Lonchura striata: one gene and its partners. The protein of the gene in region 4 interacts with the protein of the main gene of each other region in a biochemical or structural test. Links are inferred from orthologs where the notes say so. Each region holds a gene or a part of one and is shown on either strand. Other genes may lie near its edges. The genes, in order: GAB1, SH3BP2, KIT and PLCG1.

What was found.
Region 1: the proteins of PLCG1 (region 4) and GAB1 form a complex in vitro, tested with the Homo sapiens proteins (2 studies listed by BioGRID and IntAct, with this or other methods). The link is inferred for Lonchura striata from reciprocal best matches to the Homo sapiens genes PLCG1 and GAB1.
Region 2: the proteins of PLCG1 (region 4) and SH3BP2 form a complex in vitro, tested with the Homo sapiens proteins (2 studies listed by BioGRID, with this or other methods). The link is inferred for Lonchura striata from reciprocal best matches to the Homo sapiens genes PLCG1 and SH3BP2.
Region 3: the proteins of PLCG1 (region 4) and KIT form a complex in vitro, tested with the Homo sapiens proteins (3 studies listed by BioGRID and IntAct, with this or other methods). The link is inferred for Lonchura striata from reciprocal best matches to the Homo sapiens genes PLCG1 and KIT.

The regions. Positions count from the first base shown.
Region 1 is NC_134606.1:64,919,136-64,926,256, forward strand, and holds the start of GAB1 (GRB2-associated-binding protein 1), read right to left. Parts: upstream 3,005-7,121; 5' UTR 2,750-3,004; coding exon 2,678-2,749; intron 1-2,677. UniProt on the Homo sapiens protein: Adapter protein that plays a role in intracellular signaling cascades triggered by activated receptor-type kinases. Plays a role in FGFR1 signaling. Probably involved in signaling by the epidermal growth factor receptor (EGFR) and the insulin receptor (INSR).
Region 2 is NC_134606.1:9,289,307-9,296,872, reverse strand, and holds the start of SH3BP2 (SH3 domain-binding protein 2), read right to left. Parts: upstream 3,008-7,566; 5' UTR 2,888-3,007; coding exon 2,778-2,887; intron 1-2,777. UniProt on the Homo sapiens protein: Binds differentially to the SH3 domains of certain proteins of signal transduction pathways. Binds to phosphatidylinositols; linking the hemopoietic tyrosine kinase fes to the cytoplasmic membrane in a phosphorylation dependent mechanism.
Region 3 is NC_134606.1:27,108,319-27,116,152, reverse strand, and holds the start of KIT (mast/stem cell growth factor receptor Kit), read right to left. Parts: upstream 3,016-7,834; 5' UTR 2,949-3,015; coding exon 2,870-2,948; intron 1-2,869. UniProt on the Homo sapiens protein: Tyrosine-protein kinase that acts as a cell-surface receptor for the cytokine KITLG/SCF and plays an essential role in the regulation of cell survival and proliferation, hematopoiesis, stem cell maintenance, gametogenesis, mast cell development, migration and function, and in melanogenesis.
Region 4 is NC_134619.1:9,747,238-9,755,149, forward strand, and holds the start of PLCG1 (1-phosphatidylinositol 4,5-bisphosphate phosphodiesterase gamma-1), read right to left. Parts: upstream 3,008-7,912; 5' UTR 2,973-3,007; coding exon 2,771-2,972; intron 1-2,770. UniProt on the Homo sapiens protein: Mediates the production of the second messenger molecules diacylglycerol (DAG) and inositol 1,4,5-trisphosphate (IP3). Plays an important role in the regulation of intracellular signaling cascades.

The DNA of each region.
Region 1 (7,121 bases), on a different chromosome or scaffold from region 4:
AAAAGTTACTTGTACTTTCCTCAGAGATGTGCTGCTGGAAACAACCAGTCTATTACCTCCAACTGTTCTGAACAGCAGCTCCAGGGAACTGACAGCAGGTGCCAATGGCTGTCAGAACATTAATTCCGTAACAAAACCACATGAACAAGGCATGAGAACAGAACTCCTAAGAGAAGAAACAGACATTCATGGCATTAAGGCATACACTCAAGGAAATCTGGAATACCACCTGCAGGACAGGGCTGGTTGGAGGGTTTTTACTTTTTTAGCCTCGAAATGAGTATAAGCTAGCTTTAATACCTCATCCAACAGTTTCAAACTAAAAATCAAAGTCCCTGTGAAAGCTATGTCTGTATATTAGCTTCAAAGTGCTCCTTTTCACCCTTTCTAGGAACTAAACCATATTTAAAAACAATATCAGACTTTTTATCTCCATTTCCAGATGGTAACCTGGGTTCGCCCCAACATTTGCATGCAAAACTTAATAGAGCACGAAGTTACAATTTTCCATATATACCTGTGAAAAGTATGCGTTGCAGAAAAGCAGTTTCCTGTTGAAATCACTTTCCCATCTTTTGATCTGGTGCAGCCCCTTGAAATACTACCACCATAAAACATGGCTTTGGAAAAGGCAGCTCTCTGCTGTGCCTTCACTTAAGCATAGAATTACAGGGAGCACAAGCCAACTCTCCAGCCAGTGCACTCAGCTGGAGTTCATTGTCTTAAATACATCAACTTATTGTTTGCTCCAAGACGGCTACCATAACGTCAAGGTCACTTTTAGGTCTTTGAAGGGAGTGTCAGCCTTCAGCCTGCAACAGAGCAGGCACTACAGACAAACAGGAGGAATTTTACTTTAAGCCCTTCTCTAAGTGGTATCTTTCTTTCACACAAGCAGAAAAGAGTCAAAAATAACGTGTAGGATTTAAACTTATGATCTTACGGCCTACAATGCATGCTAATGTTGAACCAAATCACGCTAAGGTAAGCTTGCCGTATTATCATCCTGATAGTCTGCCTACTCAAAAAGCAGATCCCCCTTTCAAATGAAAATTAAGGAATTACCTCTTTAGGACAGGGAACCACTTGACCAGTGCTGTAGTCGGGGTTTTCCCCTCAAAGGTTCTTGTGTAATTCCAGTATAGAAATGGAGCTATAAATACACTGAAAGGGCAGCTACATGGAAAAAAGTTGGCATATTATGAGACTGATTAATGAGATTGATTTAGGAGGGCAAACTCTGTCCATTTACACACAGCACCCTTCACAGGATTTAGAGTTTGAGTGGAAAATTTATTAAAAGTCTTTAAAAACATGAATACTGCTCTTAATTCCTCCACACTGGTGAAGAGGTGTCCTGTGAATACACACACAGACATAGAGAATTGGCCAAAAAAGCAGTCCATTCAGCGGGGAAGCAGAACCCTGCTATGTCTCATCAGGATGTTCTCTTTCCTTTACACAAAGAGGATTTCTGACATTGGGAACCAGAGAATGGGCTACCCCAAATATTGTTTATTAATTTAAATAGGGACTCATTTCACAGATTTCCTGGCATTTAAAAAAACCCGCCCAAAGTCCCTTCAAGAAGAGACTGCTAATCGCTAACAGACAAAAATAACACAGTCACGCTAAGATCTGTATTCACAGATTCTCAAATAAATCTGAAGCTTTAGCTGCTTAAAAAAGATAAACACTGGAGGGCGGAGGGAGGGAATGAAGGCGAAGGAAGAAAAGAGTTTAAAAAAAAGGCCCAGCATTTTGTCCCGATTACACAGATGCCGCGAAACAAGCCGGGTGCCAATGGGAAAGGGCTCAGCCAGCAGCGATGACTCCTGGCATCACCCATCCTTCCTTCCTACGTGACCTGACAGCCTCCCCGGCGGCCCCGCAGCTCCGCTGTGCCCTGTCATGGAATCTGCCCGCTCAGCAAACGCGCTCCATTTTCCCGTCCGCTCCGCCGGAGCCCCTGCGAGCGCAGCCACTACCGAGCAACAGCGGCAACAACTTCGAGAGAGACACGGGCGCTTCTCTCACAACTGCCTCCTCTTTTTTCTTCCCGGTGCGCAGAGCGAGAGCGGAGCTCCCCCCGCCCCAGCCAGACCGCTTCCGAGGCATCCCCGGCTCCAGCCCGGGGTGCAATCCCGCCGGGAGCGGCGCGGAACCGGGGCAGCCCCCGCCCTCCCTGGGATCGGGCACCAGCCCCGGGACGGCAAGTGTTTACATTTAAAAATACATATATACCGAGGTCGGACTCGGAGGGAAGAGGGGGAAAACTCCGCCCTCTCCCGACTCCCTCGGAAAGGCGATAAAAACTGGGCTGAAACATCTGACCGCTCAGCTCTCCTTTTTTAAGGAGAAAAGAAAAGAAAAGAAAAGAAAAGAAAAGAAAAGAAAAGAAAAGAAAAGAAAAGAAAAGAAAAGAAAAGAAAAGAAAAGAAAAGAAAAGGCGCTGGGAAAGCGGCAGGGACGTGGCGTGCAGAAGCCCCGGCTGGAACGGGGAGGCGGAGGGGAGGGCGGCTCGCCCGGGCCCGGCCGGGAGGGACCGCGCGGGGAGGCCGGGCCGGGCCGGCGGGAGCGGGAGGCGAGCGCGGAATTCCGGCGGGAGAGAAGCGGGGCAGGGAGGAAGGGAGGGAGCAAGGGGGAGCGCGGCCCGCGAGTGGGAGAGGGCACTCACGTAGCGTTTCAACTTCTTCTCCGGCGGGGACTTTCGGAGCCAGCCCGAGCAGACCACCTCCCCGCCGCTCATGGCTGCGCCGCTGCCCGCCGGGGCGCTCCCTCCGCCTCCCGCTCCTTCTCTTCCTCGAGCAGCGGGCGCGGGGAGCCCCGATCGGCGGCGGCAGCACCGCGCCCGGCCTGGCCTCCCGGGGCGAGGGGCGGGACGGGGCGCAGGGTGTGTGTGTCTGTCTGTCTCTCTCGCACAACAGCCCGCCGGAGGGGAGCGGGGCGGCGAGCGGGGCTGAGGCGGGAGGGTCCTCCCTGCCTTCTCCTGCTCGCCGCCGCCGAGTTACACGGACATCGAGAGAGACGACAGGGGCGGCCGCCGCCCCGCCGCAACTTCGGCGTCCCGGGGCAGGATCCAGGATCCAGCCACCGCCCCGCGCCGGTGGCGCCTCCCCCGTGCCACCGGGACCCTCCCGCTGGGCAGGGCCGCTGGGGGCTTCGCTCCCTCCCGCCCGCCCCTCCGAGCTCAGCGCCGGCCGCCGCGGCTCCCTGCTCGCTCCTTCTTCCTCCTCCCCCTGCGCCGGGAGGAGGGGATCGGCAGCACGCCTGCCGTCCCTTCCTCGCCTTCCCTTCCGCGGGGAGGGGTCTTGTCCCGAGGCTGGGGCCGTGGCCCGGAGCCGGTCCGCTTCCCTGCCGGCCAGCGGGGGAAGGCTTTTCCCTGGAATTCACGGCGCCGCGTCCCCCCCGAGCCCCCTTTCTCCCGGCGCCGAGCGGCGGTGCCGCCCCGCCTGCCCCCGCCCGGCGCCGCCCCGAGCGCCGCGGCTCCCCCTCGGAATTCCGCCGGAGCCCTTTCAAACAACAAGGGCTGGGAAGCAGGGAGGCAGGCAGGGAGGGACGGCCGGCCGACGCTTCCAGCGGGATCCTGGGAGCTGTAGTCGGCACCCGGCGAGAACTGCGGCGGCGCGGCCGGGAGCGGAGGGGACGCGGCCGAGGGACGGGCTCGGTCCCTGCGGGGAAAACAAATGAAAACACCAAGCAAGCAAAGAAACAAAACCCAACCTAAAGATCCCTATTAAAACTGCATTAAAAATAGCGCGGCCTAAGTAAATTTCTCATAGCAAGTCTGAAACTGCCATAACAAAAAAAGGAAAAAAAAAAAAAAAATCCTTAATTGTCCAGGTCGTTCACCAGCTCTGCTGTGAATGCTCTCTGTCTTTTTCACTCCGTCAGAAAAGGGTTAAATAAGTAATAACAAATACATTAATAAATATAATCAATAAATAATATATTATTAAATAAAGAAAAAATAATAGTACACTTTTAACGAAAATAATTTTTGAACAAATTTTTTTCAGATTACTAAATGGCAGGTTGTGGAATGGGATCGCGGCTTTGTTGTCTAGTCCCAGTGAAGTTTCACTGCAGAGAAATAGTCCCCCTAGTGTGCCTTGGCTGAAGGGAGCCCGATGATGCTACATTTCATCTAGGTATAAGTGTATTTAAAAGTTACAAAGCAGTGGTTGTAGCATATAGGAGCATTCAAAGAAATAACAGGAAAAAATAAAGGAGAAAGGCTGAGGTGTTAAAATCTGTGCATCAATTCCAACATAAATCTTGTCATGATAATTATGACATTATGAAGCATTACTAAGCACTACAAGAAAGATCATAAAATAAGATATTTTGCCAAAAGCATTTGAAATAAGAAAAGATATGAATGTCAGCCTTTAGCAATTTTCAAAGCACATAAATCTGAGCATTCAAACCATCCTTGCATGAATTTCTGCACACCATCATTTCAGCTTCCTCAGCGGGGCTGGTGGAAACAATAAAAAAGTGATTTGGTTAGTAAACATGAACTAAAATTGTACTCTTAGGTTTAGATTACAAACTGGGTTTCAGTGCAAGTTTTTTGTTTAAACCACTAATACCATTGTTTAATAATCTCAACATTTGACATTATTCAAGTGCTAGATAAGACCACAAAATTTTCCAGTATCCTTTGGAACACTGGAGACGATTCAGTATTTAGAACATGTGGAGCCAATGTGAACTAACTAAAAATGCCATTGGCACTGGGGCATTGTGACGTGATCCAATGGTTCATTTGAATCCCATTAATTAACCCATGCTTTGAGGGCAAATCAAAGAAAGCTTGTTTTGGGTTAAGCAGTCTCCATGGAGGCACCAACCAAACAAGTTAGCTGGTCCAGAGACACAAGATTGTCCCTGAGGTCAAATTTCAAAACATTACATTTGTGTTCTAAAACACACAGAAACCAGTGTCAGCCTGGACTCCAGCTTAAGTTTTCATGTATTTGTTTATCAGTTTTGTGAGGGGGTTTAATCCCTGTCATGTATACACTAGGGAAAAAGAGTTAATGTCACAGTGATGAATAGTAAACAACAAAGCTTGCCTTTTAGACTGTACTTAGTTGCTGAGCCTAGTCACAAGCCTCATGACTGGACATAAAATGTTTTTATTGCATTGTGGAATTGAAGAAAACAATACAGCAAAGCACAATTTCTAAATGTTAAGATGTTGTCTCATGGACTGCTCCTTTCCTAGTCATGGCAGTGGATTTTCTTTTCTGCTCTCAGCCATTTGAGCTACGCATCCACAGTCCCACCAATGCCTTCACTTACCATCTCAGGAGAAGGCTGCACAGAGCTGTACCTCTCTTTCCAAGTTAGTGAACAGCTAGAAAATCCAAGAATATTAATTTTGTGGATTTCTGTGCATATCCAGCAGTGTTCCACAGTTCATAATTTAGATAACCTGTATTAGGGTAAACTGAAACAAGGCTAATGAAATACATGAAGAGCACAATATTTAGGTCTGACTCTTAACACCTGCATATTTATAACTGTAAAACTGTCTATGAAGAGAGTGGTGAAATAATTACACAAGTCAGTTCCTCCATGTAGAAAAATTTTTACACTCAGCCAGCTTAGGCTAGGACATAATTTCCTGAATTTAAGGATAAAAGTCACAAGGATTCTGTCGAGAATAACTGAGCTATACTTCTGTCCTGAAAGTTAAAACAATATAAGCATGCCCCATTTTGAAATTCTTCTGCAATACAGCTTGTGCTTGGAAGAACAAAACTCCCTTCAGGGCTTGAAGGACTGTAACCCCACGTCAGGACATGACCACCCTCTCCCCTCACTTTGTTCCCTCAGGTTATTTCTGTGCTGTTCCTTGGGAAGCCTGGAAGATAAAGGTGTTTCAAGCTCAATTATTTGCATTACAGAGATCTTTGGTATTTGAGTGTAGGGCCTTTGAGGAAGAAGAGAGAAGGGAAGAGGATTTTTTTCTTGGAGGAAAGGTTATTTTGCCTGTTTTTAACAAGGATGTTGCAATGACAGCTGTTGGTTTTGAAGAAGAGGATGTGGCCAGCAGAGCAGCTCGAGGAGGAAGCTCTGGAGGTATCCATCCTCTCTTCTTACAGTGCCAAATCCTGCTACAGGATTGGGAATGTTAGGAATGTTGCCATTCCTGGATCCCACATTGCCATCTGAAACAGTCCCTGTGCTGTGACTGGACATTGTGACCAAGCTGCAGCACACACAATGCTCAATAAAGTGCACTTTAACCAGCGAGGTGATGCCATGGTCATATGGAATGTGACGACTACACACATGTGGTCACGGTGCTGGTGCTGCCTCCCAGCTCAGGAAGCATGTGCAAGATGCCTTGACTCCTCCACTGACCTTGTGTTCTTCCACAAGTGCGTTCCAAAGTGTTTAAATGGGTTCTTCAAAATTCTGGAGTAGACTATTTATATATCTTGCCAGATAAAGTAGGTCATGTGGAAATCCATTTGTCTCTGGTTTGCTTGCCAAGTTGCCTTGATGAAGGAAGCAGGAGCTGATAGAAGAGGAGATTAAATACATATGGGCTTGCTTTCAAAATATAAATTATGTTAATTTCTCATGCAAATAGCTTAAGAATTCTGGACTTGCATAATAAGATGGTGCTCACTACAGCACTATCTTTGTGTTATACTTCTAGTATGATAACCTATGCATTCCCCTGTGGTTTCACCTTGCAGTCACAAACAGCTGCTCCTGATAGTGATCCCTAAACTCCTCTATGCCTCCTGCTTACATTTGAACACAAAATTTGTACTTTGACAAAAAAAGAACCAAAGGTCTAATTAAAAAGTATAAATTAGTTTAACAAAAAATTTTGCATGTCAGTCTATATCCTAAAACATGTTTAGGTGTTTATGTAAAAATGAATCAGTGAAGAAAAAGAATTAATCTTTTAAGTTTGCAAAATTCTGCATTTATATATTTCTTTTCATCTCAAATACTTCCATTTTGATTTCAAAATTATTCCCAGGTAAATTTAATCTATGTAGTTATTTTGGTCACTTTGCAGATGACATTTACTGTTTCTTTCAGAATGTAGTTATTTAGATTATTTGGCAAGCACATTGAGGAAAGTAATA
Region 2 (7,566 bases), on a different chromosome or scaffold from region 4:
TGAAAATAGAGACCAAAATGTGGAACTTCCCCAGGCCAGCTAAGAGAATAAAAGAAGTGAGTAAAAGGAGACACAGCTGAAATCCATGCCACCAAGTACACAATACATGAACTAAAGAGCCCACCCAATGCACCAGGATTTTCAACAGATTTAGAGGAAGCTAAGCCTATTATCTGGATTTAAGTGTGGCTTATAACACTCCCCATCATATCTGTACACTCCTCAAGCATTTTCATTTGCAGGCACATAGCAGACACTTAGGGAAGACTTCAGTATTATGAGATGAAATCTTCCAGTTATGCTGCTAAAATGCATTTCAGTACTTTGACTCTGGTCCCAGTCAGATTTTTCTTTTCTTGACTGCAGAAAACAGCTCTGTAAGGACAGATGTTGCTGTTTTGCATCACACTGCTGGGAGAAAGCTGTCAACACAAATCTAACTTCAGAATCTTTATTGTAGCGGGGGGAGAGAAGGAAAAAAAAAATGGAAGCCCAAAGATTTTTGTGGTCTTAGCATCTATAGTATGGTTGCTTTTTGCTCACTGAATGGTTCCTTCAACTCTTGTTGTAACTTCTCTAACAGACTACATCAACAGATGGATGTTGCATTACCATGTACACATCATAGCAGCTGCTGAAGTCACTGCAGAGCCTGATAATTTTGGCATTACTGGGAACAGAGGGATATTTCCCAGTTGTTTTTTATGCAGTTACATTCTTACACTACGAGACAAAGCCCCCATCACACATTTTCACCTCTGGTGCATCAGAGAGACTCTTCCACAGGGCTGAAACCCAAGTTAACAGAAAGGGCTCCCAGTGCAGCCAAAGCTCCTCCTGACACTGGTTCTCCGTCACAAACAGAGGGCAACATCCCATGCATTATTTGGTGAAAGCTTCTAGTAATAGATACACACTTTATTCCTCTTCCCACTCACCAAGGAATTAGATACATATTTTTAACCAGTTTTTCCACCAAGTCCCAAACCCACTGCATGTGGCTACTGAATTAATTTTCTCCCCCACTGAATGGAACCCTCTGAACAAGAAGAGGACCGCAGCAGTCACGGAAAGGTCTTGCATCACTGTTTCTCAGGTGATCCCTGTGACAATTATATGCCTATGCGGGAGATGAAAGGCCTTGCAGTGTAGCAGGAGAAATAGTAGAACAGCAGTTTCTAGGATGTGCTTCATCATTCAAGAGTGCTTTTGGAAAGACAGAACGGTGCAATCAGCACCCTGGAGCATGATACAGAGCTTTTATAATCATTATTGTAACTGCTTCTTATATACAAACTGGTCTACCAGACTGAAAACTAAAACAATTTGCAGTGTATTGCTAATGTATCAAAGTCACCCCAAGTCTATCACATCAGCATACTTTTCTCAAACACTATCACAATGAGCCAGCTTTTATTTCAAAGTACCCTGAAAGTTAAACAGCAGGAAAAAAAGTGAATTCACACACTTCATCTCGTAACCAGGATAGGGCCAGTCAGATACAGAAGTGAAACATAGTACTGAAACATAGTACTGCCACCAAGTTCAAACTCTGAATGGATAGCAGACTTCTGTTATTGTGTAGCAGGTAAAGATCTATATCTGTGAGGCAATTTTAATCTAACTGCTCGCTCAATAGATAGAGAATAGCTAGAAGGAAGGCTAGGGTATAACTTTACAGGCTGAAAGGCCCTCCACGAGTAAAAGTAAAATTCTGCCACATGAAAAATCTGGATTACATTGTAGAAGAACACTTATCCCTCTTGGCCTTAAGAGTTATTGGAGTTCAGCCCAATTAGAGCAAATACAAGTTGATTCAATTAAGGATTGCATCCTGGAAAAGTCCTCAGATCTTGCTTAACTTCAGCAGAATATATGGCAGATGTGATTATCTCCACATCTTGCAGTATATAGGCAAAAAAAATATTACCCTCTTCTGAGATTACAGCTGCCAATAGTTGTTTTAAAAGTTATCACATATTACAATAATATTTATGATCTGGCCCTGTTTGGTCATGCTGGAAAAAACAAAAAACCAGCCTGAATTTGTAACAACGCTCTCTATGCCAATTACTGAGAACTTTTACAACTGTAATCTCATAACCTCTAGTCCTTAAATTTTTAGTGGAAGCAAAACATAGCTAAATTATGCAGAGGGAGACTGAAGTATCAGGCTTTACCAAAAATGAGGCAGCATTACACAGTGCAGAACAGGAAAAGTTTCCCCTACACGCTCTCAGCAATTCTCAGTTAGAATAATTTCTGTTTCAATCATCTAAACATGTACCATCTGTTCTTAATACTGCTTTCTGCAGAATTATCAGATTGTAAATTTGCTCTTGTAAATTTATTAACTATTCTCCAGTACTTCTAAAATACTCTTCTATATCTCACCTACTTTTTCTGGTTACACATTCCATTTCTTAATACCTCTAACAGCCCCTTTCACAATACTCTCTCAGAAAGATTAATAGCACAGTACAAACACTGAAGTAAAAACAAGATCTTACAAGACAAAGGGAACAGAGAAATAAGCCCAACTGAGATACGGCGTATAACTAAATTCACTCTCTTTAACTTGCTTCAACTTGCTTTTCTTTTCTGACAAGTTTTCAACCAACACCCAACTCATCTCTTCCCACTCCAATCCTTTATCATTGAATTTTCTGCAGGAGTTCAAGTATTTTAGCTCAGATACCATGTCCCACTCTTAGCTGCAGTCTGCTCTCGACCTGAAGGAGAAAAGATGACAAACACAAGCCACAAGAAGCACTAACCTGGTGACCTTGTCCGACCGACACATAGTTCTTCTGCAGACAGTTTCAGCGAATGATTGTTTCCTTTGTGATGACAAAGCCATTAACAACTTATGACCCCTCTCAGGCATGGCAGGAACATCCCTGCACCTCTCCCGCGTTTGGGTACTCCCAGGTTGAAAGCCACAGCTGCAGCTGCCGTCTGCTCAACACACAAAAGGAGAAGAAAGCCTGCCCCAGCTGCTTGTGCATCTGCAGTGCACTGTGGCCAAAAGTGACGCCAGGCAATGACTTGTTTCCTTTGTTACTTCCTGTTCCCCCCACTGGCTGCGGGCAGCGCTATCTCTGTCAGATCTCCCAGCTTCCCAGACAGGTTATAAATCAATTCCCGCACAGCTCCAACGCCCGGCAGACATCGTGCTAGAAAGCAGAGGGGATTTTCCAGTGCTCACTTTCTTCCTACGCACCTTTCAATCAATCACTTTCCTATGGGAGAAGAAGAAAGTCGTCCTTTTTTCTCCCAGTGTGCTGGAGCTCCCACTCTGGCAGAGACACGGCTCAGAAATGCTGCCCGTGCTCCTGAAGAGCCTGTGCCTCAGCTACTTGCACTGCACCACAGAACTGTAAGTATTTAACCTGTTTTCTTCCCCACAGCTGGAGCTTCTCCTTCCCTCTTCAACCCAAGACAATCAAAACAGCCATCCTGAAAAATTCTGCAGCATGAATATGCTTTAGAACAAGTCTGGCCGGTATGGTTGATGGTACACAAACCACAAAAGGCAATAAAATTCAAATTCAAGAGGTTGACAGTGCACAATTGCTCACAAGTATCGCCAACCGATAATGAATAAATGTAATTGATTTACAATTACTTTCATCTGGCGTTCTTAAAAGGATTCAAGTGTTTCACTAACTTGTCTAGATTGAAACAACATTCCAGGCTCAAAAGTTTGAGCACGACAAAATCAACTAGCAAGTTTCTGAATTATGGTCAAAACATCTATAAGTATGTCAAGAAAAGCTTACTTCACATATTTTGGAGGAAATAGCCATAAATCTGTATCCCAAAATAGAAGGAAGAAGTCTCCATACAACATCTCTTTTTGTAAATGACCCAACAGTCAAAGCACAAAAGAAAGTAACATTTCAGAAACTGCTCACGGCTGTATGGGCTAGAAAAACCAGCTCTCCCACCATAGGGCACCCATTTGCACTCCTTCCATTGCCAGGCTCTATAGGAAGGGAAACTGAACCATAAATACCACACACCTGCTGTTAGCCAAAAGGATCTGCATATCAGAACAAAAGATCCCAGTGCTCTGCAATAAGGATCAATACCCAGTTGTCTCAGTGGCTTGACAGATTTTTCACACAGAAAGTAATTACAGAGGACTAATCTCAGTGCTTTGTGAATTAATTCACTTGCTTTATTTGTTACAGTATCCGTTACTCATTTAAGGCCCACTGCTCTAAATCTATCTTTCCTCCCTGAGTTCTCTTTTATCTAAGTATACTCTTCTGAGTCTGCATTAGCATCTTTGCAAGCTGTTTCTCCAATTTAGTAAAAAAAAAAATAGATTTAGAATGACAGCACTTGAGTATATGCAATACTGGAAAAAATACTTCAGTTCCTCTTTCCCTTTTCTGATATGACACACCTAACTCCTGGTTTTCCCCTCCAAACTCCACGACTTCTACTACCACACTCTTTGGCCTCAACATTCTCATTAAACCATGCCTCTTCATCCAACACATGTTCCTGAGGTACTGCTTTTCCCCTCTCACCTTTCTCATGCTGTACTCTCTCTCTTTCCTAATTTTAGTACTCAGAAATGAAGCAGAATTTTTCATTTCAAGTTCGAAGATCCCATTTTGACTTCTCTGGTGATTTCCAACACTATCAAGATGGTCCCAGAGTCAGAACAGAAGACACTTCACACACACACACACAACAGGTGTTCCACCAAGGAACAACCAAAGTTTAGATGTTTCACAGTTTTGGGAGACTGCAAATTCAGTTTAGCTTTCTAGACCAAACATTCACCATAAGGATTGTATTTCAAAATTGCAAATAAGGAATCTGAAAAAAACATGAAAACTTTATGGATTTGATTGACATGTCCGCCAGGGAAGTGAAAGAGTATTAAATAGAACCTCCTTCCCAAAGCAAAATTCTATTAGGCATAGACCTTTGGTATAAGGTTTTCAGATTAATCTTCATTGTCCCCATGAAATCAGTGGTGAGAAGCAGCCTTGCATCAAGCTGGCCTAGAAAGAATTTCACTCCAAAAGAGATACTCCATTTCTTTCTAAGTTATAAAGTATCACTCAGACTTAAAAGGAAGAACCAAAGCATCTGAAACCAAGACTTGGATTTCATTCCAGCAGGGCTGCTGCCTGAGGAAGTCAGCCAGTCTTCCCTGCCATTGTCAGGAACAGTTCTTGCTGGCAGTCCAAAGCAATCCTACCAATCATTAGTTAATGGGATGTGAGGGCACAAACACATGTGGCAGAACACTGTCCTTGCTGGTATAAATTCACTTGTCTCACCGTAGGGCTGAGCTATGTCTGCAGTGGGAGCACTTCCTCTTGCTGACAAATTTACAGGAAACTGTAAGAATGGACTGCAAATAAAAACAGCACAAGAAGAGCACAGCAACAGGCAAGGCAGAAAAATCAACAAAGCGCTAAAAAAAATAAAATAGCATGAAAAACACTTTCTGTCAGCTCAGAAGTTAAGTTCTACTCAGAATAATGTAAGGTTTCATACATTATATATTTCCATGGAAGTCCACAGTATAATAAAGCATCAAAAAGGGATGAACAGAATGTGTCCTAAATTTGAGTCAGGAGTAGATTATTAGAAATGTTAGTATTTTATTAATTCTACCAAACTAGTTTAGTCTCAAGCTTCTAGATGATAGTGGAAACACAGCCATTATATTGGGAGATAATGTATTTGTCAGCTGCATGATTCACAGCTGCAGATTGTAAAAGAGCAAGTGTAAATTACTTGCCTGAATCCTTCATCTATTAAGTAAGGCAACCTTGTAAAATACAAATAACCATCCATCAGAATTACTTCTGCTGGGTGAACTGCATTGTTATCTTTATAAAAAAATTAAAAGATAAACCAGCAACAAGGAAATGAGGCCACAACTTACAGAAATCCTCTTTCACTGTCAAAAGAACTCCTATACTTTAAATTTTAACCATCATCCTTTCCTTCAGCTTACTTCAGAAGACATGAAGAAGTCCTGATAATATATTTACTTATTTGTTACATATACTTAAAATAGGCAACTGAAGTCCTCATAATATAAATTCAATCAAAACCCAAAAAATACTTAAAGTCAGAAAGCTTCCAAGTTTCTACTTATACCCTAGTGGCTCTTAGGTTCTAAACATCTATAGACATATTGTTGGCTTGGAACTTCAAAAAATGCCGGCCAGTACTGGTCTGCAATAAATAAGCCATATCTCAGAGAATGAGCATTTCAATTTTAAAACAAAGTTGTAACTTTTCATGACTGTCTCATCAAGCAGTTTGGCACACATCCTAGAAGATGATGACATGATTTTGATTTTGGGATACAGTTAATGTCATATATTGCTCAAAGTACAGCTACAAAGTACTGGCAGTTCATGCATAGCTTCTAAAAAAGTAAATTAGATTGAGCAGCTGGAAGACAAGAACCATCTGTAAACTCTCAATATAAGAACTTAGATTCACTTATACCAGCCAGCCTTGAAAAATAATTCAAGACTTCATATTAATGTCTTGTAGGGCTCCTCACTCCCAAAAAAACAATGGGGGGCTGGATTGTGTCCAGAGAAGGGCAACGGGGCTGGGGAAGGGTCTGGGGCACCTGTGAGGAGCAGCTGGGGGTGTTTAGCCTGGAGAAAAGGAGGCTCAGGGAGACCTTCTCACTGCCTCCAGTTCCCTTTCAGGAGGTTGTAGCCAGGTGAGGATCAGTCTCTCAGGTACCAAGGAACAGGATGGGAGGAAACAGCGCCAGCTTGTGCCAGGGGAGATTTAGGTTGAATATTTGGAAATCAATTCTTCACAGAAAGGGTTGTCAAGCATTGGAATGGGCTGCCCAGAGAAGTGGTGGAGTCACCATCTCTGGAGGTGTTTAAAGAATGTGGATGTGGCACTTGGGGACATGGTTTAGTGGTGAGCAGGCGTTGGTGCTAGATTGAAATTCAAGACTCAGTGATCTCAGAGGTCTTCTCCACCCTAAATGGTTCTATGAATTAAGACCAGTACAGCTGTTTCAGCATAATTTTCAATGTGGGCAAAATTGTTATGTGTAGCTTTTCAAGTTTAACAGATTTCTACTAAATCAAAAGGCCCCTCAAAACCCCAGGGAGTTAACTGGGTCAAGTCTGTGCCAGTCAGATCACACCAGTAACATTTGGTATAAACAACACCTAAAGTAGAAGGCAAGTCCTGAAGATGAATCAAAAGGCAGCAAATTTTTTTTATATAAATTCAGATACATTACCAACACTCCATTTCCTTTTACTATTGAAAATAAATGAATCTTCTTTGTTCATTTTAACTGTTATTTATATACAAAGTCCTCATACAAAAGACTGTAAATGTCTATGGCTGTGATTAACTGCTCTCATCACTGCTTGTAGAACAATTTAAAATAGAACATAGGTTAAAAAATTATGTAACTAGCAGAAGTACAAATATGATTGCCAAGATCCTACTCCTGAAGACAGCTGCAAAGGGAGTTTCCCCAAATACACATAGATACTGAAAGTGGGAGTTTCCACAAAAGATTTATTTCCTTGGCAG
Region 3 (7,834 bases), on a different chromosome or scaffold from region 4:
ACAGAAAACCCACAGAGAGCCAATACAACCCCACAGTACCACAGCTGCAGTCATCTGTTGACAAGAGGCTCTCTCTGGCAAAATAAGCACGTGGAAATGCCTTCAGTCTCTATGAATGCTATTTAAACAGGATGTAAATGGCAGTCTCACTTCTTGCCAAATTTGTCACATTCTTTATTATAAAGCCCGAACAAAAATCACTCAGGCACTTGCAGGGAAAAGGTTCCCAGTGGCGGTGCAAGGAAAAAGAGTTGAATATTGAGCAGTTTTTGACATTTCCATTCTGCTCCTGGCAGTGGCCTTAGGCTACATTTCTGCACAGGGGACTCTGCACTGCCACAGGGGAGGGAGGAAAAGTACAGAGAGCAGAGATAGAAATGAAATGGGAGTAGGGAGGGCAGGATACTCAGATGGCTTGAGGGGGGTCAAGGCAGTGACTGAATGACAGCAATCAAAATTCTCATCAAATTCAATCTTCGTCCTTCAAGCTTCCTCCCTCATGGCTGATAGGTAACAGGGAGCATCATGAAAACAGACATTCTTCCCTCTGGGCACAGGGAGAGTCTGCTATTACTCTGCAGCTGATTGGGGGGGAAAAAAAAAGGTTGCATTGATGGATGGATGCTGAAAGGAACCATGTCCAGTCTTCCATGACCACAGGATGGAAATGCAAGGCACTCTCACAGAGTACTGGATGGTAGGGGACAAAGCAAGCCTTGAGGGAGGACAGGAGAAGAAGAGAGAAAAGACTGTTCCGGAATATTGCATCAAAATGAGGACAAGGCAAGTCCCAAATGGAAGGAAGTATGGAAGCATGTCAGTTTGCAAGAAAAACAAAAATTAGGAAGGGACTGTGGACAGAAAAGATGAATGGTTTACCCTTTGAGAAGCTACATTAAGCTGTTTTCTACATCCTCCTTCCCAGTTTGCAACCAAAGGAAGACGCGCTTGACCAACAGCCAAAAAAAGATACTTATTATAAACCTGTATGCTGATAAACAGGATAGGTCTGAACAGGGAGATCATCTCAGCCAAGCATCTACACTGAGGCAAAACCAAAAGCAGCACAGGAACTAGCTCTGGAGCAATCCAGAACAGCACATCAGCTCTGTCCTATCACTTCTGATGTTCCTATGCTGCTGCCAGGACTCTAACCATCACACCGATACCTCTCCCAGCACCACAAAACCAGCCCAGAATACTCCTACATCTATGTGATGCACAGATGATGCACATACATACCCAAGGACAGCTGTCTTTTGCAGTAGCAAGTTATTTCTTACAACATGGTGTGGTTTTGTTCACACAAGTTTTTGTCTGATGTGTCCCTGAAGTCTCCCACAAGTAAGTGTATAAACCCAGAACGAGATGGAGGATCATGAGAAAGGTTCCTCCTTGCTTCCTCAGTACTCCAGAAATTGCACCTCTGTCTTCCAGGACACGCTGCCAGTGTGATCTGTTTCCCAAGCCTTCTTTAAGGACAGTCTAACTATATGATGAAGGGTAACCTTGAAGTGAAGGCAAGAAATTCATGAAGTAAAGAAAGTTGGCAGGTATCAATCATGTCAACATCTTAAAAAATTCTTTCTAGTAATAACTCATTGGTAGGAGACTTTTAGGAGACTTTTACACTCCTGTGGCCACAGCATTTTGCAGCCTTATGTGGGTACTTCTAAATAGGAAAGCCCAAGTTGCCAGATACCACATTTACTCGGATTACCAATAAACCAACGGCAGCAAACAGAAAAAGTTACCTAAACAAAATCATTAAGGCATCCTAAACGGTTTTACAATGAAGTGTAAATTGTCACTACTGTTGGCTTCTGGTGTTTTAGAGGTGTCTGCTCCCATGGGCAGAGGCTGGCGGAACCCTCCCCGTCTGTGTCACACAGGGTGCTCTGCAAGGCTCCTCTCTGGTGGTGGCAGCAAACCTTAAACACCTATCGCTGTGCATCGCTTCTCTGGATCCTCAGCTCGTTCTGAGGTAAGCAGCGAAAGAACCTTTCACGTTATCTCCTTTCAGACTTCAGTGCCCAATGCTAAATTCCTCCCCAGGTCTAGCAGCGACCTCCTTCCAGCACCTTCCCCTGGACACAGCCAAACGCCTCCTAAGCCTACAAACCATGAAAGGAGATGCACGGCGGCTCTGAAAGCCATGTGTGAAGTTGCCCAGCTCTGCAGCCAGATGCAGTATTTAAAACCGTTAGACCTGTGCTCCAGGGCTATGAGGTCAAGCAAATAAACTCCCTTTTTAGAAAAGACTGGAAAGGAACCTACCCACCAAAGTTTTTGCACCAGCTGATTCCCCAAAGGCCTGAAAGGCACCCATTGCCCTCTTCACCGCAAAGGTCCGTCAGCGCCGCAACAGACCAGCCCTGATGCCCGGTCCCGCGGCGAGCCCTGCTCCGGGGCACCTGCCCGCCGGCGGCCGCAGAGGGCACCGAGCCCACCTGCCCCACCGGGGAGGCTGCACACCGCTGCTCAGCGCTGGACACCTGACGCCGGCCGCTCGTTCCTGCCCATTGTTCAACAAGCACTTAACCGCGGGGACATTTCGTACCGATCCCCGGATAGTTTATTGTCAAAACAGCCGGGCCGGGGAGGCGGAGGGGGGTGGAGGGGTTCCCTGCAGGTCTCTCCCCCAGCCCCGGATAGCCGCGCACGGCAAACAAAGGACTTTATTTCCCCCGGCGGGGCGTCCCACAAGGGCAGCGCGGGGCGATGCCGGGCACACCGCTGGCTGCCGGCCGACCCCCGGCGCGGCGCTGCCCCGCGGAGGGGGCCGCCAGCGCTGAAGTTTTCCCTGCCGCCGCCCGTGCAAACCCCGGCCCCGCGGGGCTCCGCGCCCGCCCGCGCCCGCGGCTCCCACCTGCGGGTAAGAGGCTCAGCAGAAGCAGCAGCAGCAGCGCGGTGTGCGCCAGCTCCCGGGCGAGGATCGCGCCCTCCATCCCGGCGCGGCTGCCGCTCGCACGGCCCGGCGCGGAGATGCCCGAGCCCCCGCGGGAGGGAGCGGAGTAGAGCCGGCCCCGCCCCGCCCCGCGCCGCGCCGCGCCCCCGCCCCGCCGCCGCGGGGATGGGCGCAGGTGAGGAGCTCCTCCGCCCCCGGGAGCCTCCTCTGGGCTCACCTAAAGCCCCTAAACAGAATGGTTTAAGGAAAAAGGACCGAGCCCAGTGGCTGAATGGGCGCTCAGTGCTGTCGTGAGGGAGAGCTCGCCCTCCTCACGGGCGGCATTCTGCCACGCCGAGCGCCCGAGGGATCGGGGCCGCGGGGCTGCGTAAACCCAAGTGGAACGTGGACCGGAGAAAGGTGGGGGGAGCGGCCGGGCCGGGCACGGGAGCTGGAAAGGGAGAGAGCATCCCTTAAAGGGCAGGTACAAAGCCGTTTGCCTAGCTTTGAAATCCTCACTGATCGCCCCTGGAGCTGTTAACGACTGGCTGGTTCTGGAGGCGCCAAAGGTATCGCCTCCGCCCTGGCTCGCACTGCTGACATCCACCCAGCCCGCTGTGGGCCACCACCTATTGAGGGCCAGAGCACCTCGAGTGAGACTTAAAAGTATGTGCTGTGGCACAAAGCGAAGACTTGAAAGAAGTGGCTGGTTTGGTATGGAAACGAGAAAACTGACAGGGAGCTTAAACGTGGAAAGGGTCCTTAAGAAAAGGATTGTGAGTGATTGTTTTTAATGTTTCTCAAGGGCAAGAAAAAAAGTTATCCATTTAATTCTCAGGAAAAAAAAAATCGCTTAAATGTAAGGAAGGCGATTGCAAAGAGCAAGAGGATTTAGACTACAAATGCATTGCAAAAAGGGGTTGTGGAATCCCACAGAGGGAGTTTTTTAAGCACCGATGAGACCACTGACGAGGATCTGGGAGCACTCACTTCTGTAACTGCAGAATTGGAGTGGAGCTGCTCTGCAGGCAGAAATAACACAAACTACACAAATTCTTAGCTTTAACACTGTTTTAGCAGTCAGTGTCACACACTGTTGAGGTGGAAGAAAGGTATAGAGGTGACCCAGGCAAAGGAGCCATGCATGCATTCACCAGCCATGCTCTGCCCAAGGTATCCACAGGCAGCACCTTAACAGGCAGGTGGGCAAAGGACACAGACTGTCAGAAAATCCATAACAACACTTCTGGATGTACAGAAAGATGTAGAGGACATATGGCAAAACTTTCACCACTGGAAAAGCATAAATGTAGACTTCTTGAAATGTGTCAGTACAGATCAGAAAAATTATTGAAGGTAAATATTCCTTTTTTTTCCCTTCATCTTCCTTTCTTTTTCACTCCTGTCAGATTTTTTCCCAAGGTTAATAGCACTGTCCCACATGGTCCAGCATGAGATGAAAGTCTTGTCTTGCATGTTTAAAACGGCTCTCTCCATTTCTTTACTCTCTTTCATCTCTGACAGCCAGTCTCTTTTGATAGGTGAATCCTTCCTCTGCTGCAAAACAGAATACTTTTTGTTAGCACACCAACAATTTCAAAATCAAATAACATCTTAAAATCCTATTTCTTACTATGTGCTAACCTCATCAAATTAACCTTAGGGAGGAAAAAATTACTGAAATACTTAATTTATTAGTGTCGTTTCCCTCACACCCCCCCCCCCCCCCCCCATTTTCCAGGTGTCTCTGGATTTTGTTTCTGTAGGAGAAAAAAAGTGAGCCTGAATTTTTAAATGTAAACATTTGGAACGCTTAATTTCTTAAAGATGCAAAGGTAGGGCACTATACTGTAAGAGGTTTTCACTAAAGCATTATCAAGGAACATGTGATGTTGTTATTGTGGCAGGTTTTTCCCTGTTCTCCTTGATTAGTGCTCCTTCAGTTAGTGGCCTGCCTTTAGGTCCTGCACATCCCTGATCACATGAATCTGAACTCCGCATGGCTCTGCATCATATGCCTCATTTTCACAAACATTAGCTCAATGTTACATCTCAAAATCAAAGTGGCAACAGTATTCTCCACGTGCTTTGACTGACTATAAATAGCAACAGTAAGTGGGAAACAAAGGTGAATTGCTTTTAACCTTGCCCCTTCATTTATTTTAAATAATTAAAATGATAAATGCAGTTGCCCTTTTCAGTGTATTGCACTGAATGCTGTAAGTTTTGTTGTCTATATCCTGTTTGCATTATAGAAGCAAAAGAAAGTTTTTTAAGCAGTGGAGGGTTCTCTTAGGTCTTTTTCCTACCTTTGTCTGAAATATGTGAGCATAAACCAGAAAGGTTCTTCTTTGACTTTGCAGCCAGCCTCACGTGTTTCTCTCTTCAGTTGTCACTGTGGTACTATGGCAGTGAGTTAGGACAGGTAGTGCCATCTCTCCTCATCATCTGCTGGAGACAACTTGCAGTAGGTTGACATTTGGGAGAGTGTGGAATGAAGAGAGAGACAAGAGAGATCTGCAGCCTTTGGACACAATACACATTTGGAGATAAGAGCGATAAGCTTGGAGAAATATGTGAAATTATATTTGAAAAGTTCACTTCCCTTTGAAAGCTTGAAAGTGATTTAAAATTTGTGGATGAACTCCTTTGAAAAGTCAATTCAAAATATTGCTTTTAGATATCCATGGGAATGCTTGCTGAAGTAAACACTGAATAGGTCAATAATATTGGTAAGATTAAGCTAATGTCAACAAAATACTGCTGCTCTAATGAAGGGTTTGTCATTTCTGTATCTGAATGGAAATGCATTTAGAAATGAGCAAGTTTGATGGTTTAAAACAATTTATTTGTCAGAGCTATGAAAACCTTTTTTACAGCATTAATAATCTTAGACTCTTTTTATCTATGACAAAATGTATCTGTTGAGAAGAGAGGAATTACTCTTCTGATACAGCCAATCAATGTGGCTAGAATCCTTCCTGATTGCCCACAATAACAACTTTTTCTATAAGGTTGTAGTTTCCTTTTTCTAAATTGCAGATTGACAGACTTTAGGCTGGAACATGGCTCTTTCATATAAGCTGGCAGCCCCAGCAAACCAGACAGCTCCAGAATTAACTCCTCTGTGATTCCTGAAGGCTTTGAGAAATTACACAAGTTTGAAACACATATTGATTTACCAGTGTTGCAGTAAAACCTATCTAATCACAGGCATAAAAGTTTGTTAAGCTTTTAAAAAGTAAAAAGTGGTTAAATTTCTGCCTTGTGCATTCATCTAAAGCATCATTTCTGAAGAGTGAGTTAGGAATGTCATATGACCACTGTGCAAAAATATATACTCAGCACTCTGCAGTATCTTGATCCAAATTGACTAAACTGTAGCTGTGAATTTTCTCCACCTTCTGTTTTATTAATATTAAAAAAAAATAGAAAAGTGTGTGAAGTCTGCTGGTCTAAACTGTTGGTACAAGAAGGTATAATCCAGCTGGACCTGTTTTCTAGAAACTGAGATTTTGGGACATCCCATTTCATTTTTTTTATTAATCTCTCGTCTTCTGCTCTCCACGCTGACATGTTAGGGTGGGTAAGTGGAGAAAACTGATAGCATTTGATAGGCACATGTCTTAAGACTTCATCTGTAGATGGCAGGATTATAATGTCTTCAGCCAGTGTAATTGATGAAATGTCTGTTATTTTTAGAGGGATGACACTAAAATAAATTCAGAAGAAGTGGACACCTTTATCTCATTCCCCCTGGAATAAGAATCTTCAAACTGAATCCGTTCAGTATTACTAAAGTGAGAGGTGTAGCTTATTCCCTTTTAATCCAATTGTGGAGAATACTCAGTAAATCCCATTGTGACTGTGATCTTAAACCAGCATTGCCATCCTAGTTAATTAAAAATTTTTCCAGCATTGAATGTCAATGAGAGCCTAGATATAGTCGTAATTGAAGCTTGAAATATATGCTGTTTTTGAAGACATCTTGTATTATCACACACATAGCACACTATTGTAAACACTGTTTTATCAGTCTAAGCTTAAGTGGAATATAAAGGCTCTAATCTTCTTGATAGTATTTTTTTGTTAGTTTATAGCCTGCAATCTTACTAAGAAAAGAGATTTGTCTTTGTGAACTGCCAAGTGTAGTTCTTGCCTTTATCACTTGCAGCTTTATTTGCACAGGCCACTGTTGAAAATTGACTCAGTGCAGGTCAATTCAAGTGTTGTTTTGTCTTACTTGATTTTGTTGCTGGATTGTCATTGGGTTTTTTTTCCATGAGTTGAGCTCATGAAAATAATTGTGGAGAAACAGCTGATGTGGCTTCCTCAAATGCATTCTCCTTTCCCAGCTTGCTGCCCTACCCATTCTTCCCTGGCCTTCACATATACAGCAGCTTTGGGCTGCAGACCCAGAGAGCCTTGTCTTTGCCCTCTCTGCCTGCTCCCCACAGGATATTAATGCCTTACTTGCTGAAACCATATCCAGGCTCTGAACCTTGTGACAAGAACTAACTTTGCTTAGCAGTTTATAAAGAGTCCTTCTGTGTTTTCTTACAGTGCTTTGCCATATCTGCAATATAAATAAATGGCTAGAGTGAGGCTTGTCAGGCATTTTTCTCTGAGGTGATTAAAGCCATATGAGATCCAGTTGACTGCTTCAACATATTTGCTAAATTGCACTATTTTTCTTATAAATCTGGGGATCAAATGAGAAGAGAACTAAAACAAAAGCAAAGGAACTGCCTTGATTGAGATAATATATGTCAAAAGCATGATGTGGAGAAGAAGGTATTTCTCATCCCTATATTCCCTGAGTAGATGAACTTAAAAACTTGGATTTTTATCATGTCTTGTTTGTCACCTTGCCTCTCAAAGTATCTTTCTTTAACATATTTTAATTTAGCATTCTTTAAGTGTATTGTAAATCGCTTGGCTCCTTTT
Region 4 (7,912 bases):
CCATGGAGCCAGGTCACCCATCCCTCTCTGGGAGAAACACACATCTCCTTTCTGCACAGCCCACAGGAGCAGAGAAAGGAGCACAGATCCTCTGTCGCTGGTGTCCATGGAGACCTCTCCAAGACATGGCCATCCACACAGACATGCCCCAAGCCCAAAACCTCCATATGCAATATACCGTGGATGTTCACCTGTTCTGAAATGGATAAAACCCCAGAATCATTCCTACTTAGACATTTAACATGTATCCAGAGCAGTCTAAAACTCCCTAGTGTTCTCCAGCGCTCAAAAACCACAAGAACATCCATTGCTGACCCATGGACACAGCAATCTTTGATCTGTAAGTCCCCAGACACCATTTGGAGGAGATGCTGTTCCATGGGAAGGAACACCTCATCCCCTGACAGCTGGCTACTCTCCTCATAGTGCAAGCTGAGGCCAAACCAGAACCACCACAAAAAGTAAAACCCAGTGTCCCTACCAGCCCCAGTCTACTGCTCCCTGTGCTGGCATGGCTTCTTTTCATGGGGAGAACTGGATCAGTCATTGCCCATACCCTGCACTGAAAGCGATGAGCTCAACTCCAGATTATTCCCCCTCTGGTTCTCTGGTTCCCACCATGGCCATGGCAATGTTGACCTCAAGGGGATGAGCCAGGAGGGGAATACCTTGAAGTGGAGCTGTCACACACCCAGCATTTCCCAGGCATCCTCTTTCTGCCCAGAAAGCACATCCAGATAAAAACAGGGAAGCTGGCCAAGAACCTGGTACTGCTGGCCATCGATCCCATGGCTTTGCCTTGCCTGCCTAGAAACCCAGGCACTACTTGTGTACACAGGTTGGTATTTCCAGCTGGAGCCCCACAGTTCTGTCCAGGAAGTGTTAAAGCAAAGCTCTGCTCCTCAGCCCTGCAAGCTCAGGGTGCTGGGTGACACCAGAGGAGGGGACTGAGGGCAGGGTGAGCTGCTCTGGTGAGAGAGGATGCCATGGGGAAAGCATCTGGCATCAGAGAGATGAGGCTGAAGATACAGCAGCTCTTCAGCCTGATGTCCTCTGTGTCCAGCAAGGCCCACCTGGCCACTTGGGAGGGTCACACATAGTGTGAGATCACCACGAGCACAGGGAGGCACACATGGGGAGCCCAGAGACCAAAACCACCAGCCAGACACCTTGCCTGTGGCACAGTAGAGAGGCCCCAAGGAATTTTTCTTTGTGACATTAAAAGAAACAGTCATCTCGGTCCCTGGGACACTCTCTTTGCTTTCACTGCTCTTGGATGTCTGCACAGCACAAGGATTCCTTGCAGCTGTGGCTTTATCATTGTCAGGCCCACAACTCTGGTACAGAAACTGAAGTTCTCCAGATTTCCCCAAAAGGTTACAGGGACACACCCAGGTCTGTCCCCAGGAACAACCACCCATGCAGACACCTCTGTCCCCCATGGGCACACGTGGTCTGTGGGCTCTGCCCAAGACCAGAATCTCCCCAGCAAGACCAATGTTTGTTCTGCCTGAGTTTGAGAACAGCTCAAGCCCAGGGTCAATGAAATGCTGCTCTCACACTGCCTCACTGCTCCCACAGGCCCTTCTGGGAAAGAGATGGGGGAGCTGCACGTCCTCATGATGCTAAAGACTCCCTCCAAATCTGCCTGTAGACCCCACAGGGCGCAAGGTAGAGGACTCAAAGGGTCCCAGGGCAAACCAAAGCCCCAGATTAGCATTTTGTGGACCTGCTACAGAGGTGTGGCCACCATCTCCATGCCCCTTCCTCATCAAAGCCCCTTGTACTAATAGCATCCCAGCTTTCCATCCTGGACCAGCAGCACTTGCCAGGAGAGATGACAACCCCTCCCTGGCCTTGCTGGGCCTCTGCCACATCCCTCAGCATGGGGAAGGCCAGTGCCACAGCCAGTACCAGCTCTCCCACCACTTGGCCTTCGTGCACGTCCCCTCTTCCTCACGTCCCACACAGAGCAGAGCCCCTGTCCTCGTGCTGGTGCACACAGGGGCAGGAAGGATAATTTAAGAAAACCTGGGAAACCAACACCAAGTTTAAGAGTGCAGAGCATGCCAGATCTCACCCCCTTCCCACCTTACGGCCCTGCATAAGAAACCTGGTTTTACACTCAGGTTTCATCCTTTCCTCTGTCCTCCTCGCCCCCATCCAGCACAGGAAGCCGGGGCTCAGCACACCCTGTGCCAGCACCCTCGGGCTGATGCGCAGAGGGCAACGGGGAAGAGGACGGAACTACAGCACAATATTTTGGGTTGGTTTTCCTACTGTTTAACCTTTTCCGTTCGATCTCATCTGTTGCTCCGAGGTGCAACCGCAAAAGGGCTCACACTAGTCCTGCCTCCTTCTGAGGTTCCCTACCGCCCTTAGGTGCTGCTCGCCAAGGCACCACCCGGGAAAACACCGCGTTTATCCCAGGGGAAGTTTGGTGCCGAACAGGGATGCGGAAAGTTGGGAGGCGGCGCTGGGCGGGGGCAGCGGCGGTACCGGCCCGCGCATCCCCCGCGCATCCCCCGCGCATCCCCCGCGCATCCCCCGCGCACAGGGCGGTCGGGGTCGGCCCCACGCTGGGACCCGGACTCCTCTCCGCCCCCCAGGCTGCCCGCGGGGAGATGCCGGGCGCGGAGAGCCTGGAGGTTCATTATTTTTATTTTATTTTATTTTTCCCGTGCCCCTCTCCTCGCCACCGAGCCCCGGCTCCCGGCGGGGCTCCAGCCCCTCGGCCGCCCCTTCCCGCCGGGCTCCGCCGCGCACTCACCGGCCCCCTCCACCTTCTCGGAGCCGCGGCTCCAGGTGACCTGCCGCGTCTCCAGCTTCACCTGGAAAGTTTTCCGCTCGGGTCGCTGCGACTTTTTGGAGTAGAAGAGGGTCATGACGGTGCCCATCTCCAAGCTGCGGCACAGCTGCGCCGCCTCCGCCTCGCTGGGCGCCCCGGGGCCGGCGCCCGGCCCGGCCGCCATCGGCGCGGCGAACAAAGGGGAGCGGGAGCGCCCGAGCCCCGCCGCGCCCCGCGCCGCCGCCGCGGGAGGGAGCGGAGGAGGAGGAGGAGGAGGAGAGAGAGAAGGAGGAGCGAGGAAGGAGGAGGAGGAGGGAGGGGAAGGGGCGGAGCGCTGCCGGCGCGGAGGGCGGGCGCGCAGCGTGCGGGGAGCGCGCAGCCGGTGCTGCGGGGCTCGGAGCATCCCCGCACAGCGCGGCTCCTTCGTGCTGCGGGATGGAGTGCCACAGACCGCCCAGCACGCTGGGAACCGTGCGACCCTCCGCACCATGGGGGACCGGGGGACTCTGCACCCCATGGCACCGGCTCCCCTGCGGGACGGGGGGACTCTGCAGCCCATGAGATGTCTGGGGATCGGAGAATCTGCACCCCATGGCACCCCTGGGGATCGGGGACTGTGCACCCCATGGCACCCCTGGGGATCGGGGACTGTGCACCCCATGGCACACCTAGGGGACCACCCTGCACCCCGCAGGTCCCCCGTGGGCCACACAGCCCACAGGATACCTTAGGGCCGTGGCACCCACAGCAGGGTTTGTGTGGGATCCTGGCATGCCACGTGTGGAGTTCCAGCAGTGCATCCCACGATGGCTTTTCCGGGGGACAGAGCCCTCTGTATGGCTGGCACTGTGGTGTGGCTTCTTGATGAAGCCAGGTCTGCGTTTGCTGGAGTTTCCTCCACACGGATCCCAGCTGGATCCGTGCTGGCATGGAAAACAGGACCGGGCTTGCAGGGTGGCCTGTGGCATCCCACCCCTGGGGGACCTGTAGGGAGCCGGGGGTCACTGGACACTCTCCAGCTGTTCTCTGGCCCCACAAAAAACAGGGGTTAGAGACCACACAAAAGCAGGGTTAGCAAGGGGATAAGTGGTTGAATTGGGAAGCGTTTCAGTGCAGTTTGCTCCATTCATGTGGTTAAAGCCTGTGATTTCCCTTTCTGTGTGCCTCTGACCTTCTTCCCCATGCCCTCCTTTACATTAGGACATCCCATGGCACACGGTGCTCAGGCTTTCCCATTTATATGTATAAATGTATAAATATGGGTTAATGCTTGGACCTGATGATCTTAGAGGACTTTTCCAACTTTATCAATCCCATTATTTTTTTTCTTTTTTCCAAACCTCATGATGCTGTGAATACACACACGTACACACACGTGCCCACAGGCCCATGGCAAGGCAGCCTGTGCTCAGCAGCCCTTATCTCAGCCCCCCAGCTCACAGCTGGGACTGGGAGGGTGTCATCTTCTTAGTGAGGGGCCCATCCCTGAGTGGATTCCACATGTGAGCAGCTCTCTGTGTCCTACTGCTCCACCTGCCTCCACAGGGACATTCCCCAGCACACATGCATCCACACACAGTAGGAGCCCTATAAGGTCGTTTAGGATCCTACCTGGCGTCTGGGCATCAAACAGGCAAGGTGAGAGTCTAAACCTGTCCTGATAGAAGTGAGCAGTGTATGACAGCACTGTAAGGATGCTGGGGATGTGCTGAGCTGAGCCAGAGCTGCTGGAGCCTGGGCTCGGTGCTGGCACAGCACTCCGGGCCTCATTCTCTCCGGGGTGAGCCGCCGTGGGAAGTGGCTCCTGGCTTGTGTAATGGCCTCGCTTGGGACCGGCAGGAAACAGCCGGCTCCCAGTGGTCTTAAAATAGCTGAGCATTGTGGGCACACCCTTGTTTTTGAGGGCAAAACCTGGGAATGGAGTGTGGCCATCGAAGAAGCAGAACAGGTAACTCCCTTGTTCCCAAACACTGCCAGCTCCTGCTGATGGAGAGCACCTGGCAAGGTGTGTCCTCAGCTCGGAGCTCGGGGTGGCTGAGGCCAACACGTGGAGGATGTGGTTTACAATGAGCTGTTTGCAGTGGATATTTTTTATTTTCTAAGTTTGACTGATCATCTTTTAGCCTTGCATTAGCTCTCTGTGTCTAAGATGCTGCATGCCAAGGAATTCCTCTGTTTAATTTGACAGCAGAGGAAATTTGATAGCCCTTGTGTGCCTGCTGTCTGTCAGCCCCATTTGGTGGCCCCAGCTCCTGTACCAGCCAGGCTGTGAACAATCATCCCCACCCCTCAGGGCAGTAAAAACTTCCATTATATTCCTGTTTTGCTTTTGAAGAAATTCTCTGGACTGTGCTCATCATATGGCTGTGGAAGCCTGCGGGTCTTGCAATCTCCCCTTGCCAACGCCTCAGGGAAAAGGGGGATTTTCCCCTCGGAGTGGCCCCAGCACCTCCCCCTTCAGAGTTCCGGAGCACGGGATGCCATCCCCCATATCCTGCAGGATTCGTGGAGCAGCTGCATCCTCCCACCGGGAACAGGCCAATGCCAGGTGACCTCCGGCTTAAGGACAGCCCCAGGCATGCTCAAAGCCCGGGGAACAGAATCCAGGGACACAGCACTGCGAGCCCACCCCACAGGCAGGTGCGGGGGTCCCTGCAGCGCAGCATCCCTCTGCCCAGTGGGTGCCTGATACTCAAGGAAGTGGTGCAGACCCTGGGCGAGATGCCTCTCTCCGGGTTATTTCTTCATTCCTGCCTGCTCTGCGCTGCCCGGGCTGGGTGAAGACAACACCAGCCGAGAGAATCCCCACGGGGGAATTGCTGCCGTGGTGCTGCAGGGAGCAGGGCGCGGAGGGCCCCGGGGGAAGGCGGTGCGGAGCTGCCCGGGCTGGTGCTGTGCCGGGATGCGGGGCAGAGCCGCCCGGGGCTGCGGGGGCTCGCTCTCCGGGAGCCGGGCACAGCCGTGCCCGCAGGCTGCCTCCCCACAGCCCCTGCCCGGCGCTGCAAATTCCCTCTGGGTGACAGCCGGCACCCGGCGAGAAACCCACTGCAGCTCCCGCTCCCTGTCCCCGCACTTCTTTAATATCGAATTCACCCGGTTTCAATTTTCAACCCCGGAATCCTTAAGACTTCAAGGGGGATGGGGCTGCATCCTGCAGGGTTTTGCACCTCCCCTTGGCCACCAGGCCCTGTGCTGCACAAGATCCAGTTCAAAGCTACATTTGTGTCCTCTCCCCCGGTCATGTCACTGCTGCCTCAGTTTCCCTGGCTGCCAAACACAGGCCCGGTTGTGGGGGTGGTGGCACTAGGGCAGGCGAGCACAGGCGCTGCAGCAGAGGGATGCAAGACAGGATGTGGCAGGTTTGTGGCCATTTCTCCGTTTGCACAGTGAGTCAGTGGGGTCTGGGAATTCTCCGTGGGGTGTGTGGTCCTCAGCATGCTGTGCCACAGGCAAAGCCACCGATTAAACCCTCCTCAGCCCCCTGCCCAGGACAGAGCCTGTGCTCCCCAGTGCTGGGAGGGAGCAGGGGGAATTTTCAAGGGTGGGTTTTGCACCAACATCCTTCTCCTTCTTGCTGACCGAGAGGCACAACACGCTCCAGCCTTGGCCATCAGACACAGATCTCCCAGCCTGGCCAGAGAACCCCACCATGCCCAGGTGGATCTGCCAGCAGCAATTCTGGGGTGGGGGACCCCCTCTATGGGAGAACATCCCTTCCCACTGCATTCCCCAATTCCCTGTTCAAGAATACTAGAATTTGTAAGATAGGGGATAACTGGGCCAGGTCAGCAGGCGGGAAGCAGGGCCGTATAAATAGAAATGATATTTTTACAGGCTGCATTGTTCAGCCACGGGCAGGCTGGGAGCACAATGAGCCCCTTTCCCTCTCCACTGGCATTTTCACCGCTGCACCTTGGAAAGGCCCCAGAGAGCAAACTCCTGCCAGACTCCGAGCTTGTGCAGCCACAACAAAGTGCCTGCGGATCGCAGCGAGCAGCAGGAAGCAGCTCAGGGCTGGCTGCCCAGAGCCTGGCCCCACAGCCACCCTCGGGGGTCTGGGAGCCCACCCCAGCTCTGGGATCACGGGGAGGTGCTTGCAGAGGAGCCAGGGCTCTGCCTGCTCCACAATCCCCAAGGACACCAGGCCAGGGCTGCTCCCAGCACCAGGGGGGAGAATGCATCCATCAGCCTCATCACCCGAGTCCTTGCCCAGCCTCCCGCCCTTCCCAGGCACGGAGGGGAAGGAGGTGCCCTCCCTCCATCCTGCTCTGTGCAGAGGGCTGGGGCTGAATAAAAGGCAGCAGAGAAACCAGGCGGAGCAGCTCTGGGCTCACTGCATCCCCCTGCTCCTGCTCTCTGCTGTCCTGGGCAGGGCTTCCCCCAGGGCAAAGCAAACTGCGAGCTGTGCCTGCGTGGAAAGCCAGGGTGGGCACCACGGAGGGGGCAGCACAATCACAGCAAGGCAGGGATGGGCACATCCTTCAGGGAATTCCTGCTGGGGCTGGGAACAGGAACTGCATCCCACCATCATCACCAGCCCAGCGACCACGGGGGCCTCACATCCAGGGCTGGAGGTGAAAGAACACAGAGACACCGACACTCAGTTAAGTTGTAGGAATTTATTTTAAATAACCTACACTTGATTAAAAGGGAATTCATGATAAAAATAGAAGATACTTGTTGAGGAAAGGCTGCAGGAAATGGTCTTGCACACACACTACGCTAACGATGCCTCTAAGACTAATGATTATAGCAAAAAAAGGTTTCACATTAAAATTCTGCTTTTTAATTTTTAAAATTTTTTTACACAATTACAAAAGAAAAAAATAAAAGCCCTAAAATCTTGATTATTTTCCTTTTTGGACCAATGCTCATTTCCCTCGAAATTTATTGACCTGTGAAACTTCTTTTTACACAATAAAATCTTTCAAGTAAAAGAGGGGAGTGGGGCTTAGAAAAAAAGGGGGAGGGAAAAGGTAAAACAGTCTGACAAACCTAAAAAGTAGATAATTCTTGGAAGTGTACAGAGCATGTTCAGAACAAAGGGTGATGGGAATGTCATTTGTTTCCAATTTCACTTGTCCTCAAATTCCACACACATCTTTCCCTCACACGGCCCCCTCC